Linked DNA regions of Saccharomyces cerevisiae S288C. The protein of the gene in region 1 binds, or shares a complex with, the protein of each later gene. Each region holds a gene or a part of one and is shown on either strand. Other genes may lie near its edges. A codon is read from its position in the direction of its gene.

Region 1 (5,087 bases):
TCGTCTTCGAGGGGAAGGATCAAAGGCGCATGCGTGCCCGCAGGAGGGGGCGCCAGGATTGGGGGTAGATACAACATCAAGGAAGCGTCATGGTGGCTTCTTGGGTCTTAAATACGCAGGGAATTAAAGTTTCATTTATGTGCCTTTACATGCACTCAAAAACCTTCTTAGTTACAGGAAAAGGTAAAGATACGATAAGAAAAGCCTTTGAACTGCCCATCCTGCATCCTAACACAGATCTAACTCACTATTCGGGTAAGGAAGTGTCATGCATGTCTGCAAAGGGACTAGAAGAAAGTTACATGATTACATAAGCAAAAAATCGGAATTACAGACACACCATTTTTTATCCTGCGGCCCCATTTCCGTCTTCGAGGGAAAGGATCAAAGGCGCTTAGCCCAATCTTGATGATTCACCGGGGAAGAAAGGAATTACAGAACCCCCAGCCACGTAACACAGCCAATTAGTTTTCTATATCGGGAAACGTGATTGATTGCGCAATTTTGGCTGCATCAGAATACATCGATGAGATCTAGAGCACCCTTTGATGGTTTAAGTCCGGTTTAAAGTTAGTAGATCAATGATTTCGTAGTGCATTTTAAAGGGAGCGCTTATCCATGGGTGATTGCGTTTACAACGTTTTGTGTGTACTCATAATAGCCAATCTAAAATTAAACAACAACAACAACGCACAATTAATATGTATCAGCCCCAATACCTTTTTCTCTTACTGTAATTTACTACTAAATTGGGGTCGGACGTTTTTGATCTTGTTCCTTGCCTGTTGTTTACCTTGTATATTACTTTTCCTCTTTTATGTATTTAAGGTAAATTAATTATCTTTTGATCTTAATATTTTTCTCAAAATGCTTCCCTTGTAGTTCGGTATTTTTGCTTCTTCAGATATTTAAACTACCGTATACCATAACTGTTTCGTGAAGTAGATACAAACATCGACTATCCTATTACGATTTATTTTACATTATCATATTATAAATCGACCAGTAGTATTGTTAAAGATTAAAAGCATAATATACTACTGTCATTAGTCACCTACAGAGAAACAAATTCCTACTGGCACCCATTACTGGTGAAAAAGGAAAAAAATAATAAAAGAAAAGCTTTTCTATTCCTCTCCCCACAAACAAAATGCAAGCGGATATGCATGGAAAACTTCACGCTGCCTTAGAAGATGGTTTCTTCCTCTTTCCTTTTGAACAGCAACAACAACCTAACATTTATTATGACACAACCACCGATCAAGAAGACCGTCCTTGTTTTTCTTTTGGATCTACAATTTCCCCTAGAAGTTGGCATTTTGAAAAGTCTGACAAAATTGCCTCATCTCAGCTGCAGAACTTGGTTCATACACAACCAATTCATTTAATTAATCCTCAAATATTGTTCAATGAAGAGTTTCTGAATTTGGAAAATATTGATTCTCAGCCTATTTCCAAGGAAACGAAAACTACGAAGGACTGCACAATGGCAACTGGTCCTGAAAGAGGAAAAAAGAGCTCTGAAAGTACCAGATCCTCTTCATTATCATCTCTTTTTTCTAATGATGAATCCGCATCTACGTTCCACTCATCATTCAATAACCATGATAACTTTCAAAAGAGCAACAGAAATGGAGATGATATCGATATTAGTGACACAATAAAATATGAAACTAATACAAATGCACAAAAAGATATCAAAATATTCCAAGAAAATTTTGAATTCAATGAATTCCCATACACACAAGACTTCTACCCATATACCACTAATTATACCTATTCAAAACCCACAAATATTCATGAATCAATAAATTCAAAAAACACGGATTCATACTCCCAATATCAAGATCAGTTTCCACCACATACTGATAACATACATTCCTTTAATAATCGTCACTATAGCAACCATAAAAGCACTAATTGTAATTACTATAATAATACCAGCAATAATAACAACGCCTCCGATAATGTATATGAGGCAGATCCATTTATAGATGAACCTCAGGTGCCCTCCTACTATTACCCATTAGAAATTGCCTTCGACGTTGAAAAATCACCACCGCCATCACTACAAAAATTAAATTCAAAAGAGTTAGAATTCCTAAAAAAGTTGAACTCCAAACTGTCAAGATATGCTGCGGCTTACTCCTTCAGCAGTTCTAATGATCAAGATTATTATGACAAGGTCAGGTTTCAAGAAATATCCTACAAGTTTAGTAAAACCTATTCTTAATTCTCGAAAAGTACTACAATCTTCCCCCTTCCCTCAAAATATATCCATTCACACTCATTTCTTTATTTCCATTGTCTCACTCAAATTGCTAAGAATTTGTGTATTTGCATATATATATATTATATATAGGTATATATATGTATTCAATGTCTCAAGCTCCATGACATAATACCGTAGCGTTATTAGCCTTATCGTATGTCGCGATGGGAAAGGAGATTCGTTTTAATCTTGAAAAACCTTCGTAGCGAATAATGCGACATAAATCTTGAGAGAGTACATCACCAAATTCACTTTGTTAAACCGCACCATCGTGCTTTGCATTCTTATTCCTTTTGCCTACACTAAAATTATTAGCATTTCTCTAAATGAGCTCCAGTGAAGACGAAGACGACAAGTTCTTGTATGGTTCCGACTCCGAATTAGCACTACCTTCATCTAAACGATCAAGAGATGATGAAGCAGACGCAGGTGCGTCCAGTAATCCTGATATAGTTAAAAGGCAAAAATTCGACTCTCCCGTGGAAGAAACTCCAGCTACTGCCAGAGATGATCGTTCTGATGAAGATATCTACTCTGACTCCTCAGATGACGATAGTGATTCTGACCTAGAGGTTATCATAAGTCTGGGTCCTGACCCTACTAGGTTAGATGCAAAACTACTCGATTCTTATTCTACCGCAGCGACATCTTCAAGCAAAGACGTAATTAGCGTAGCTACAGATGTATCCAATACCATCACAAAGACATCAGATGAAAGACTAATAACAGAAGGAGAAGCAAATCAAGGTGTAACGGCAACGACCGTAAAAGCTACAGAGAGCGATGGAAATGTACCGAAAGCAATGACTGGTTCTATAGACCTGGATAAAGAGGGAATCTTTGATAGTGTTGGCATAACGACAATAGATCCTGAAGTATTAAAGGAGAAACCCTGGAGGCAACCGGGGGCCAACTTAAGTGATTATTTCAATTACGGTTTTAACGAATTTACCTGGATGGAGTATTTACATAGACAGGAAAAACTACAACAAGATTATAATCCTAGGAGGATCCTAATGGGCCTATTATCCCTCCAACAGCAAGGGAAGTTGAATTCCGCGAATGATACAGACTCAAACCTCGGTAATATAATTGATAACAACAACAACGTAAACAATGCAAATATGTCTAATCTGAACAGTAATATGGGTAATAGTATGTCTGGAACACCAAACCCTCCCGCTCCACCAATGCATCCAAGCTTCCCACCCTTACCTATGTTTGGTAGCTTTCCACCATTCCCCATGCCAGGTATGATGCCACCCATGAACCAACAGCCTAATCAAAATCAAAATCAAAATTCGAAATGAATGGGGATCTGTGAAATTGAAATAAAAATATATCGTCCATGATTCACGTATTTACTCTTATTATGTGTATTTAATTAATCTTTAAACTAAAGACCTCTCAGTCATCAGATTATATGCTGTTTTCATTCCATTAATCACCTTCTAATTAAAATCTTGCTTCAAATTATGACCGGTTGTTCGAGTCTTTTCCTCCTCAGCTAACTTTTCACAATACTTTTTCACCCAGGGTTGATGGAAAACATTCAACTCAACAACTTCCTGGAGCTTATTGTACCAATCACTTTTTTCCTCATTAGAGCATTCCGCGTTGAAAGTAATTCTTTCACCATCGTCAAATACTAGCTGGAAGCATTCATTAAAGAGTACCCAATCTGTAAAATTCCTTTGCCCTCCATTATCCGCCTGGATGTCTTCATTACGTAGGACTTTCGTGACTTTCAACAGATTAATATCGATCTTAGCCTTTCTAGAGATTTCATGATAACCAGAAAGTTGCGAGCCGTGCAGTTTGAAAAACCTGTTTTCTATCTTTCCTTTCAGATCACCACCATCCTGCAATAAATACCCTTCTTTATAGATATTTTGTTGCAACTTGTATTTGGAAACAATCTTATTGACCAATGAAAATTGTTTGGGAAATTGTTCAAAGGCAGAAGTTCTTTCTAAGAAACATGCTTCCACATCCAACGAAGCCACTTTGTGAGGCGCCTTGCGTGGTAACTCGTACAGCCTTTTTGAGCCGTGAATTTTGTCTGCGATTCTACTCCACTTGTTAATCATATTGTAATGCATATGACTGGTATTAAATGCCACGTTTTTCAAAAACTCTTCATTAATTTCAATTTCACAACGAGCAAATGAACCGTCTTGTGCAAATAGATAATCCCACTCATCTTGTTTAGGTTTTTTCTGTACATACTTCTTTTCAAATTTATACTTTGTCTTTCCAAAAAAACTCTTACCCACCGGCACCTTGTCTACTATTTCGACCAATTCATGTCGAGGTTTTTCATATTTACATTTTAATGTGATAACACATTTTTTGTAGCTATCTCTTTCAGAAGAAGCGGAGGATGTTTCGGCTTTTCCTTTAAAATCTATGGGCAATTCAAATTCCTTATTGATCCTGATGTTACCGTCATACGGAAGCGACTCCCAGGGTGTCTGAACGACATTTTCCCCATTGTCAAAAACAATAGCATATGTTGCTCTATGACTCTTAGTTCCATATAATGCAAGCGTGGAAATAGCCTTTATACTTAAATAAAGTGTTCCCATATCCGGAAATTCTTGTTCAACGTCTTGTGGTTCTTCAAGTTGAGTTATCGTTTCTTCTTTTGCTTCGACGTTATCTTTTGTCTGCGCTAGCAGTGGAGGAATATCTTGTTTCAAACCATCGGTTTCTTGCTGCGTCATTGGCTCTATTTCCTCTTCAGCCTTAATGTTTATTTCATTATTCTCTTGTTTGTTTCCAGCTTTCACGACCTTGAAAGGACTGCTAACAT
Region 2 (4,271 bases), on another chromosome or scaffold:
TATCGACAACAAACTCATTCGTAGGAATAGTAGCATCCTTTAAGAACTGAATGAACTGATTAGAAATCGCTTCTCTTAGAGCAGGATACCTTGAGTACTTTGGTTGTGAAATAATCTGTTTTAGCATACGAACAAGTTCATCAAACACCAGAGTAACTAAACGTAGAGATGGTTCTTCAAATCTTCTAATTTGCTGTTTAACTAAAACTTCAAAAGCTTCGGTACCGACAAACAAAGATGGGGCAGAACCTGAACTATTGTACATAATGGTTCTGATATCAGAATCTTTGATCTGGTCGAATGGATCCAAAGAGTCTACACCATTTTTGAAAGTTTCATGGAATACGTAAGAAATTCTAGCACCACCAGAAAGTTCCTGACTGGAAAGCTCCTTCGCCTCACCGTCCAAGATACCGGCATATTCATTGGAAAAATCAGTAATCATGCTCAAAACAACCGAACTAGCTGAATCCATAGTTTCTGGGCCCAAGTTTATAAGTTCGTTTTGATATTTTTTCAATGTGGCTTCGATTTTCGCTTTGATTTCTGGCAGAGTTTGCCTAATGTGGTGTAATAAGATTGAGTTTAACTTTTTAGCCAAATATGGTGTACCACAGTAATGAGCTTTAGAACTGTAAGAGGGATGGTTCTCAAAAAATTTTCTTTCGTTTTCAAGGGCTTCTCTGATTGTTTTTTTGTGTTCAATATCCTTTTGACCTCTATTGATAACTGGGATATAACCATATCTCAAAGGAATGACTCTTCCAGCCAAAATATCTATGACATCTGTACCTTGATCCATCAAATCGACTTTTGTCAAGACACCAATAGTTCTCGTTCCTTCTGGATCGACCTCTCTAGCCAGCTTCAAACCATCGCTGTTGGCTAAATCGGTGTTAGCGGCATTAACAGATAATATGATAGCGTTTGGTTTCGAAATATACTTTAACAACATGTCCTTAATTTGTCTTTCAATATCAGGAGGTTGGTCACCTACGGGAACCTTCGTCAACCCAGGCAAATCCACTAACGTCAAAGTAAGAACATGCGGAGAATAAATTCTCAAGTTAATGGGCACAGAAGAAATACCTGAATTGGCACCTGTCACTTTGTCAGTTTCTTTGACGATTTCCTTTCTAATTTCGTCAAAATTATAAAACTTCTTACCAGGTAAATGCAAAAATTCACCCCATTCCTCTTTATTGTCTTCAGATTGTCCCTCGTTCTGGTGCTTTCCTGATTCATCCTTTTTCTTGTCATCATCGTTGATGTTCAAGTCAATCAATTCATTAGCAGTTTGGTTTACTTTAGCATGTTCTGACTTTTTTGGTCTCCTATTAATCAATTGTAACACTAAAGGTCTCCTGGTGACAATACCAGTACCTCTTGGCAAGAAATCCCTACCAACAATGTTCTCCAAAACGGACGACTTTCCTGACGACTGGGAACCGACAACAGTGATCTGTGGTAAATCAATAGGAGATTGAGATCCTCCTCCTAAGGGCGCCAAAGCGTCCTGAAGCTTGTTAATAGTAGAAATTAAATGCTCATCCATGATATCTGATAATATAAAATGTGCAGTTTTCGTACGGTCCTTATTTTGGTGCTATAAAAGGCCTCTCTAATTCTTTTTTAGGAGTAAATAGATGAATTATCTCGGTCTGTCTTGGAAGATATGTTGTTCTCTTGATGGCAAAGCGACGCGAATCAACGGCGCCCAAGTCTTTGGGTGACCCGGCCACTTAATAATGTTTGGGGAAGAAATCAATCCATTAGAACATTGGTTTTGGAAACTAGGCCAGTCCAAGCGCACAAGTGGTTTACCCTCGAGCATTTTTCGACTATTAGAGGATTCAAGTATCTATCGAATTCTCTGAAGCTATCATACTATCCTCTGGACGATATTAGAACGATTTTTCAAGTGAAACGTTTTAGCAAAAGTTTAAAGACACTAAACTAGCTAAATAATTTCACTGTGAGCAAGTCTTTAAACGGTCTTTTTTGAATCAAAAGAGGCCTAGAATTAGCAAAATATTTAACGCATAAACTTTTTTTAGACAAATAATGAGCTCTCAAAAGGTTTTTGGTATTACTGGACCTGTTTCCACCGTGGGCGCCACAGCAGCAGAAAATAAATTAAATGATAGTTTAATCCAAGAACTGAAAAAGGAAGGATCGTTCGAAACAGAGCAAGAAACTGCCAATAGGGTACAAGTGTTGAAAATATTGCAGGAATTGGCACAAAGATTTGTTTATGAAGTATCGAAGAAGAAAAATATGTCAGACGGGATGGCAAGGGATGCTGGTGGGAAGATTTTTACGTATGGGTCCTATAGACTAGGAGTCCATGGGCCTGGTAGTGATATCGATACTTTGGTAGTTGTTCCAAAACATGTAACTCGGGAAGATTTTTTTACGGTATTTGATTCACTACTGAGAGAGAGGAAGGAACTGGATGAAATTGCACCTGTACCTGATGCGTTTGTCCCGATTATCAAGATAAAGTTCAGTGGTATTTCTATCGATTTAATCTGTGCACGTCTAGACCAACCTCAAGTGCCTTTATCCTTGACTTTATCAGATAAAAATCTACTGCGAAATCTAGACGAGAAGGACTTGAGAGCTTTGAATGGTACCAGAGTAACAGATGAGATATTAGAACTGGTACCAAAGCCGAATGTTTTCAGAATCGCTTTAAGAGCTATTAAGCTATGGGCCCAAAGAAGGGCTGTTTATGCTAATATTTTTGGTTTTCCTGGTGGTGTGGCTTGGGCCATGCTAGTGGCTAGAATTTGTCAACTATACCCTAACGCCTGTAGCGCAGTTATATTGAACAGATTTTTCATCATTTTGTCGGAATGGAATTGGCCACAACCTGTTATCTTGAAACCAATTGAGGATGGCCCGTTACAAGTTCGTGTATGGAATCCAAAGATATATGCCCAAGACAGGTCTCATAGAATGCCCGTCATTACACCAGCTTATCCATCAATGTGTGCTACCCATAACATCACGGAATCTACTAAAAAAGTCATTTTACAGGAATTCGTAAGAGGCGTTCAAATTACGAATGATATTTTTTCCAATAAGAAGTCCTGGGCCAATTTATTCGAAAAAAACGATTTTTTCTTTCGATACAAGTTCTATTTAGAAATTACTGCATATACAAGGGGCAGTGACGAGCAGCATTTAAAATGGAGTGGTCTTGTTGAAAGTAAGGTAAGGCTTCTAGTTATGAAACTGGAGGTGTTAGCTGGAATAAAAATTGCACATCCTTTCACCAAACCCTTTGAAAGTAGTTATTGTTGTCCAACCGAGGATGACTATGAAATGATTCAAGACAAATACGGTAGTCATAAAACTGAGACAGCACTGAACGCCCTTAAACTGGTAACAGATGAAAATAAAGAGGAAGAAAGTATTAAAGATGCACCAAAGGCATATTTAAGCACCATGTACATAGGCCTTGACTTTAATATTGAAAACAAAAAGGAAAAAGTTGACATTCACATTCCCTGCACTGAATTTGTGAATTTATGTCGAAGTTTCAATGAGGATTATGGTGACCACAAAGTATTCAATCTAGCCCTCCGCTTCGTAAAGGGTTACGATTTGCCAGATGAAGTTTTCGATGAAAATGAAAAGAGACCATCAAAGAAGAGTAAAAGGAAGAATTTAGATGCTAGACATGAAACCGTGAAGAGATCTAAATCAGATGCTGCTTCAGGTGACAACATCAATGGCACAACCGCAGCTGTTGACGTAAACTAAGACATTCCTATTTATAGTTGAATAGTTTATTAATATAGGTTAATCAGTCATAAACAAATTTGTACCCTTTTTTTTGAATCAAAGTACTTTTTTTACGAAGCAGTAAAACGTTTACGAGATTCTCTCTACATATGCTCTTTCGCGTGTAGCGACATTTTACCATTAGGTGAGAATTTTGTGTTACAAGCTGGATGTCAGGATGATACCTTTGAAGGCATAGTTAAATTGGCTGGGAAAGGAACGGAACCTTTTCCTTTCCGAGTTTCGGCCAGATATTTAGGCTTTTTTTTTTCTGACGGAATAGGGGACCCAGGATTGACAAATATAACAAAACAAGCTTCAACGAGACGTTTATCTCGAGAATTACGTCTGACAGTTACATGAAGTGTGAGTTCATGCAATCTGTACCTTTATTGACACAGATATACTAAAAGAAGTTACAATGGGCTCCAAAAAACTGACCGTAGGATCTGATTCGCACCGGTTGAGCAAATCCAGTT
Region 3 (4,965 bases), on another chromosome or scaffold:
TAATATCTCTCTTCTGTTGTAAAGCCAAAGGAATAGCATGTGATTGAATTAATGTTGGGTACTGAAATCCTATATTCTTAATAGCTTGTAATAAACGAGAGTCGAGATGAAATGCTTCGAACGTTGTAGAATCGTCAATATAAGCGCCTTCCACAGACTTTTTCTCATAGCTCATTTTTTTGATCTTTCGTTGCAGTTTTGGCTTAGTCTATTTCTTTTGTGAGATAAATTGTAGATTGACTATAACTATCAGCCAAAACAAAAGGCTCTTACTCAATGAAAGAAATTAGAAGAATCGAAATGAAATGAGATGAGATGAGATGAGATGAGATGGTCTAGAAGAGTTATTCTTTATGTTCGTGAAAAAAAATTTTTAAAATTTCATCTCTAGGTTTCATTACGTAAAGAGTGATTAAGGTAAACAATAAAAGGCAGTTCTAACCAGATTTTGGTTTGGTATTACTTCTATAAAGTAGTCTACTTAGTATGCGTAACTGTTTTTAACATAGCGGTGTGACCAAATTACCACCAATATTTAAGAGGCTTTCCACCCTACCTTTCAAAGGATTTGAATTACATTCTAAAATTTTCATATTGTTGAAGTCAATCTTAGCAGTGCTTTTACCTATGGTAACCACTCCAGTTATAGTTTCCTCTTTATTACTTGCATATTCATCTTTATTGAGAAATAAAGTAAAACAGTCACCAAACTGTTCTTTAAACAACCTTGAGATTTGCTTCACCCTCTCAACTTCATCAATCTTACCTTGTGCATTAGACTGCACATTGTTATGATCATGATCATCACAAGAATGACTCGAAAGCTTGACACTGGCGGGAGCTGAATCCACATTCATAAGTATAGCAATAATGGAGTCTGCTACAGTGTCATTCATTAAATCTTGAGTCCATTCCACAACGGCTAGAGTATTAACAATAGTTAACTTAATATCACCCATTATCTGTAGAATCAATTTACCTGTATTGGTCAGATTGTCTTTTGACTCTTCTTTAACCTTTGGTTCTTGATTTGTTACTCTATCATCATCTTGAAGAACTTCAGCCTCTCCAAACATTTGTAAAATGTGCCAGTAAATTAGCTCCTTTTTACAATTTACACGAACTGACTGGCGCTCTCTTAATATCGTTGTAGAAAGATCGGGATGGTGCTCTCTTAAATCAGACAAAGAAAGGAAGTCTAATTCGAAATTTTTGTCATCTGAAACTAGAATCCCAGAAACGACTATGTCTTTGTGTTCCTCTTCATCAACCAAACCTTTTTCTGCTTGAGAATCCAAGTTGTCTTCGTTTTCTTCCTTTATAGGTTCAATTTTAGCCGCAATTTCTTCCTTTATCTCTACGTTTTCTTCTTTATATATTTCGTTCACAATATTTCCCACAGCTTTTGCAACCTTGACACCTTGAAATTCAAGATCTACTTCAACACAGTTTCTAGGATTAAAAACATGGACTTCATTATCTGTACCCTTTAAAGACGCGAAATTGGATAACAATGCAGATTTCAAACGGCCCATGGGATTGGCTTCTCCATGAACAAGGATGATATTTGGCGCACTAATCTTTTCAATAAATTCTAAATTTTCCTGGAAGTCAACGTGTGCGGCAAAGGAGATTTCTTCAACTTGACAACGTCTTGGAATGGTTATTTCCGGATTATTTATGGAAGGTATTGTATCTGGCTCAAGCATAATAAATTTCGCCATTGTTCCTTCGATGGAGTAACCGGTGATTAGTACTAGATTTTTATCTTCAGGGCACCACCTTTCAAGTAAATCTCTTGATAACCCACTTTGCAGCATACCTGGTGAGGCCAACATCACACTGGGACCAAAATCTTGGAAATCCTCCAAGTTTCTAAGATAAGATATATTTTTGAATATGAAGGGATTAGTCTGAGAGTCTCTAAATTTTTTTCTAATGTCATCATTCATCATATTTACATAGGTTTGAAAAACGCTCATACATTTTTTTGCCAAATTTGATGCATAAAATATTGGGACTTGTCCACCACCGAGTTCATCAGCATGTTGAGACCAGTACTCATCCAGTATAAGCATGATTTCTTGAGCTCTCCCTAAAGCAAAAACAGGCAGTAGAACACGGCCTCCTCTCATCACTGTGGAATGGATTAGTTGGGTTAGCTTCCTTTCTCTATTTAAACGGGGCTCGTGAGTAGCGGTACCAAAGGTAGATTCCACAATTAATACGTTGGATGAAAGTGGAGGCACCTCAGCAGAATTTAAGTGACGATCTACTTCTCTCGAATAGTCACCTGTGAATAACACCCTAAGGCCAGCAATCTCTATTTGAAACATCGCTGCACCCAATACATGGCCTGCATGGAATGCCGTAAATTTGATACCATTGACGTCAACAGTAGAATGATAGTCCACCGTTTCAATTTTATCGAAAGAATCAACTAAATCCTCATCTGAGAATAGACCTTCGTCTTTAGTCCCCATAGAGGAGGATGAAGAACCTATACTAGTAACTCTTACAAAATCTCGCAGTAGCCATCTGTAAATGGCTTTGGTTGGATGTGTCATGAAAACTCTGCCTTGAAAGTTAGTCCGTTGCATCACATACGGAAGTGAAGCGGCATGGTCTAAATGGAAATGTGATATCAGTAAGATATCGACTTTGGAAAGATCAAATTCATCGTAAAAAGGTAATGAAGCTAATCCTTGATATGCCGGATGAATTCCTGCGTCGAGCATCACTGTTTTACCTTTATATTGCAATATATGACATGATCGTCCAACTTCGTTACTTCCTCCCAATGAAAAAAATTTGAATGTTGTTGTATTTGTTCGCTCCATATATGCGTATACTTATTAATGTTAACTTATTATGTTACTTTTTATTTCCTCAATGGACAAAATTCAATTGATAATACAATGTTTCTTTTGTGCTGTAACTTTTGAAGTACTGAAAACAAGGGTAAAAGAAATAAACGCTTATACCCGTGAACATTTTGAACCTATTAGATGTGATCTCAATATGTATTGCGCTGAAGCAGTAGAAGTTGTTAAAGATCCGCTAGTTTTTCATAATTTTCGGCCAGAATAACTGCTTACCCGTATTTATTTGCAAACACGCTACTTAGTCTTTTGGAGAGGACTTTATACAGGAAAGAAAGAGTTTTATTGATTTTAAAAACAATATAAATGAAAGAAAAAAATGTGTTTTAGATTAGGCTTATAAGATATGACCCATATCATAATTAAAAAAAGCGATTTAGTTGTTCTTTTAAAAAAAAAGAGAAAAAAAAAAAAAAAAAAAAAAGGAATGAGTTTGTACATACTATTATATTAATGTAGTATCACGTTAAAAAGCCGTAGTCATCATTAATCGTCCAAAAGTCTTCTACCGGACCAGATGTCATCATGTTATCCCAGTTAGAACGCTTTTTCCTGATGTCTGCGTTAGTTACTGTAGGAATAACATTGTCGAAATGCAGATTTGCGCTAGTGTTTGCTTCCACCTGTGTTTTAGGTCCATTCTTCTCTGTTTCGTCAAGATTATATTGTACACCTTCCTGATTGGACATCATGAACAAATTTCTGTTATACGAAGGGTCATTCTGCGTCTGTTGAAAATTATTAGCGGTTACATTGTTTTCAGAACACATATTTTGTTGTTGATGTTGTTGCTGCTGTTTGTCCATGGACAGAGATGAAGGCTCTTGACTCTGGGGAAATATTGTTTGTAGTATGGACTTGCTATTCAAAGCATCTAGAACGGAGTTATTGGTCCAGGTGGAAATATTGTTGATCATGTCATGAGCACCGTTGCTGAAAAGTATATCGCCCGAAGAAGAGCCATTTCGAGCTTGTTTGACACTGACCGGAATTGAATTGCTAGTAAATGACGCTGGTATCGAGGAGATAATATTATTGCCATAATCTGCTCTTAGGGGTGATGTACTGAAATTTGATTCTTCGACATCTCTTAATTGCTTATTTTCACTTGTATGGTTAGAGAATATTGCAGATTGTAGAGGATTACTGTTGATCATACCATTGTTTAATTGATTCGTAAAATTGCTTTCTGAGAATCTTTGTGGAGAAGTAATATGTTGTTGTGGCTGCTCCCGCTGTTGTTGCGGCAGTGGTCGTGATACATGCTGTTGCGGTAGCATATTGGAAGTTTGAGGATATGGAGTTGGGCTTTGCGTCATCGCTATTGGAATCGGATCCGAATGCGAAGAGGCTGTAGATATGCTAGAAGATTTTGAAGGACTTCTATTGGTCATAGTATCGGTGTTCAGGGACGATAGATACGCTTGTAAATTGTGCTGAGCTAGTTGCTGTTGTAGAAAGGCCTGCTGTTGAAATACTTGCCAATCAAACTCTGTTTGGTTGGTTGGTTTCTTGACGATATATTGGTCTTGAATAGGCCTTTCTACATCATTTTCCATAGTTACGTTGTTGTTACGAACATACTGGCTGTTGTTGCCATTATTGCAGCTGTTGTTGGTAGTGCTTCTGCTATTACTTTCATTATCATTATTATTAACATTATTATTATTATTACTATTATTATTATTATTGTTATTATTATTATTATTATCATTATTATTGTTGTGATTATTGTTGTGTTCTCTGTTGACGCTGCTGATGGTCATACCATTGTTATCATTGTTTACATTGATTTTCAGGTTTTTTTCTTGGGAAGAAGGAAACGATAATGTCGACGATGATGACGAAGAAGAAGATGATGACGAAGAAGATGTTGTATAAGACATTGAAGAATTTGAAATACGTGACCTGTCATCCATTTTGGTTAATAGGTGAGCTAAACTTTTGGGTACAGAGGTCTTTTCTAAAACACCTTGCTTCTTCTTGAATTTCTCTTGTTCAGCCAAATCCACTTGTGAATTTTCCACAAAACCGGCGTGCTCTTCAGCTTGTCCTTTACCAAATATTCTAGCCACAGCAGGCG

What was found. The genes of interacting proteins can lie anywhere in the genome.
Region 2: the proteins of FIP1 (region 1) and PAP1 are in contact, whole or in part, in a crystal structure (PDB 3C66), measured with the Saccharomyces cerevisiae proteins. Residues at the interface, in NP_012626.1 of Saccharomyces cerevisiae: Leu81 (codon at 2,839), Glu82 (codon at 2,842), Val83 (codon at 2,845), Ile84 (codon at 2,848), Ile85 (codon at 2,851), Ser86 (codon at 2,854), Leu87 (codon at 2,857), Thr92 (codon at 2,872), Arg93 (codon at 2,875), Leu94 (codon at 2,878), Asp95 (codon at 2,881), Ala96 (codon at 2,884), Lys97 (codon at 2,887), Leu99 (codon at 2,893); in NP_012927.3 of Saccharomyces cerevisiae: Phe360 (codon at 3,142), Leu362 (codon at 3,148), Gln425 (codon at 3,337), Asp426 (codon at 3,340), Tyr428 (codon at 3,346), Phe470 (codon at 3,472), Lys478 (codon at 3,496), Val479 (codon at 3,499), Asp480 (codon at 3,502), Ile481 (codon at 3,505), His482 (codon at 3,508), Cys485 (codon at 3,517), Thr486 (codon at 3,520), Val489 (codon at 3,529), Asn490 (codon at 3,532), His502 (codon at 3,568), Asn506 (codon at 3,580), Leu507 (codon at 3,583), Ala508 (codon at 3,586), Leu509 (codon at 3,589), Arg510 (codon at 3,592), Phe511 (codon at 3,595).
Region 3: FIP1 (region 1) and YSH1 share a complex: the UniProt entries of both Saccharomyces cerevisiae proteins name them as parts of the cleavage and polyadenylation factor (CPF) complex.

The regions. Positions count from the first base shown.
Region 1 is NC_001142.9:601,715-606,801, reverse strand, and holds FIP1 (cleavage polyadenylation factor subunit FIP1), read left to right. Parts: upstream 1-2,598; coding exon 2,599-3,582; downstream 3,583-5,087. Other genes in the region: transcription factor IME1, read left to right, coding at 1,151-2,233; BUD4 (Bud4p), read right to left, coding at 3,724-5,087. UniProt on the Saccharomyces cerevisiae protein: Polymerase-regulating component of the cleavage and polyadenylation factor (CPF) complex, which plays a key role in polyadenylation-dependent pre-mRNA 3'-end formation and cooperates with cleavage factors including the CFIA complex and NAB4/CFIB.
Region 2 is NC_001143.9:441,168-445,438, forward strand, and holds PAP1 (polynucleotide adenylyltransferase PAP1), read left to right. Parts: upstream 1-2,064; coding exon 2,065-3,771; downstream 3,772-4,271. Other genes in the region: dynamin-like GTPase VPS1, read right to left, coding at 1-1,555; oxysterol-binding protein OSH6, read left to right, coding at 4,214-4,271. UniProt on the Saccharomyces cerevisiae protein: Polymerase component of the cleavage and polyadenylation factor (CPF) complex, which plays a key role in polyadenylation-dependent pre-mRNA 3'-end formation and cooperates with cleavage factors including the CFIA complex and NAB4/CFIB.
Region 3 is NC_001144.5:696,656-701,620, forward strand, and holds YSH1 (cleavage polyadenylation factor subunit YSH1), read right to left. Parts: upstream 2,841-4,965; coding exon 501-2,840; downstream 1-500. Other genes in the region: DBP9 (ATP-dependent DNA/RNA helicase), read right to left, coding at 1-175; YLR278C (uncharacterized protein), read right to left, coding at 3,344-4,965. UniProt on the Saccharomyces cerevisiae protein: Component of the cleavage and polyadenylation factor (CPF) complex, which plays a key role in polyadenylation-dependent pre-mRNA 3'-end formation and cooperates with cleavage factors including the CFIA complex and NAB4/CFIB. Has endonuclease activity.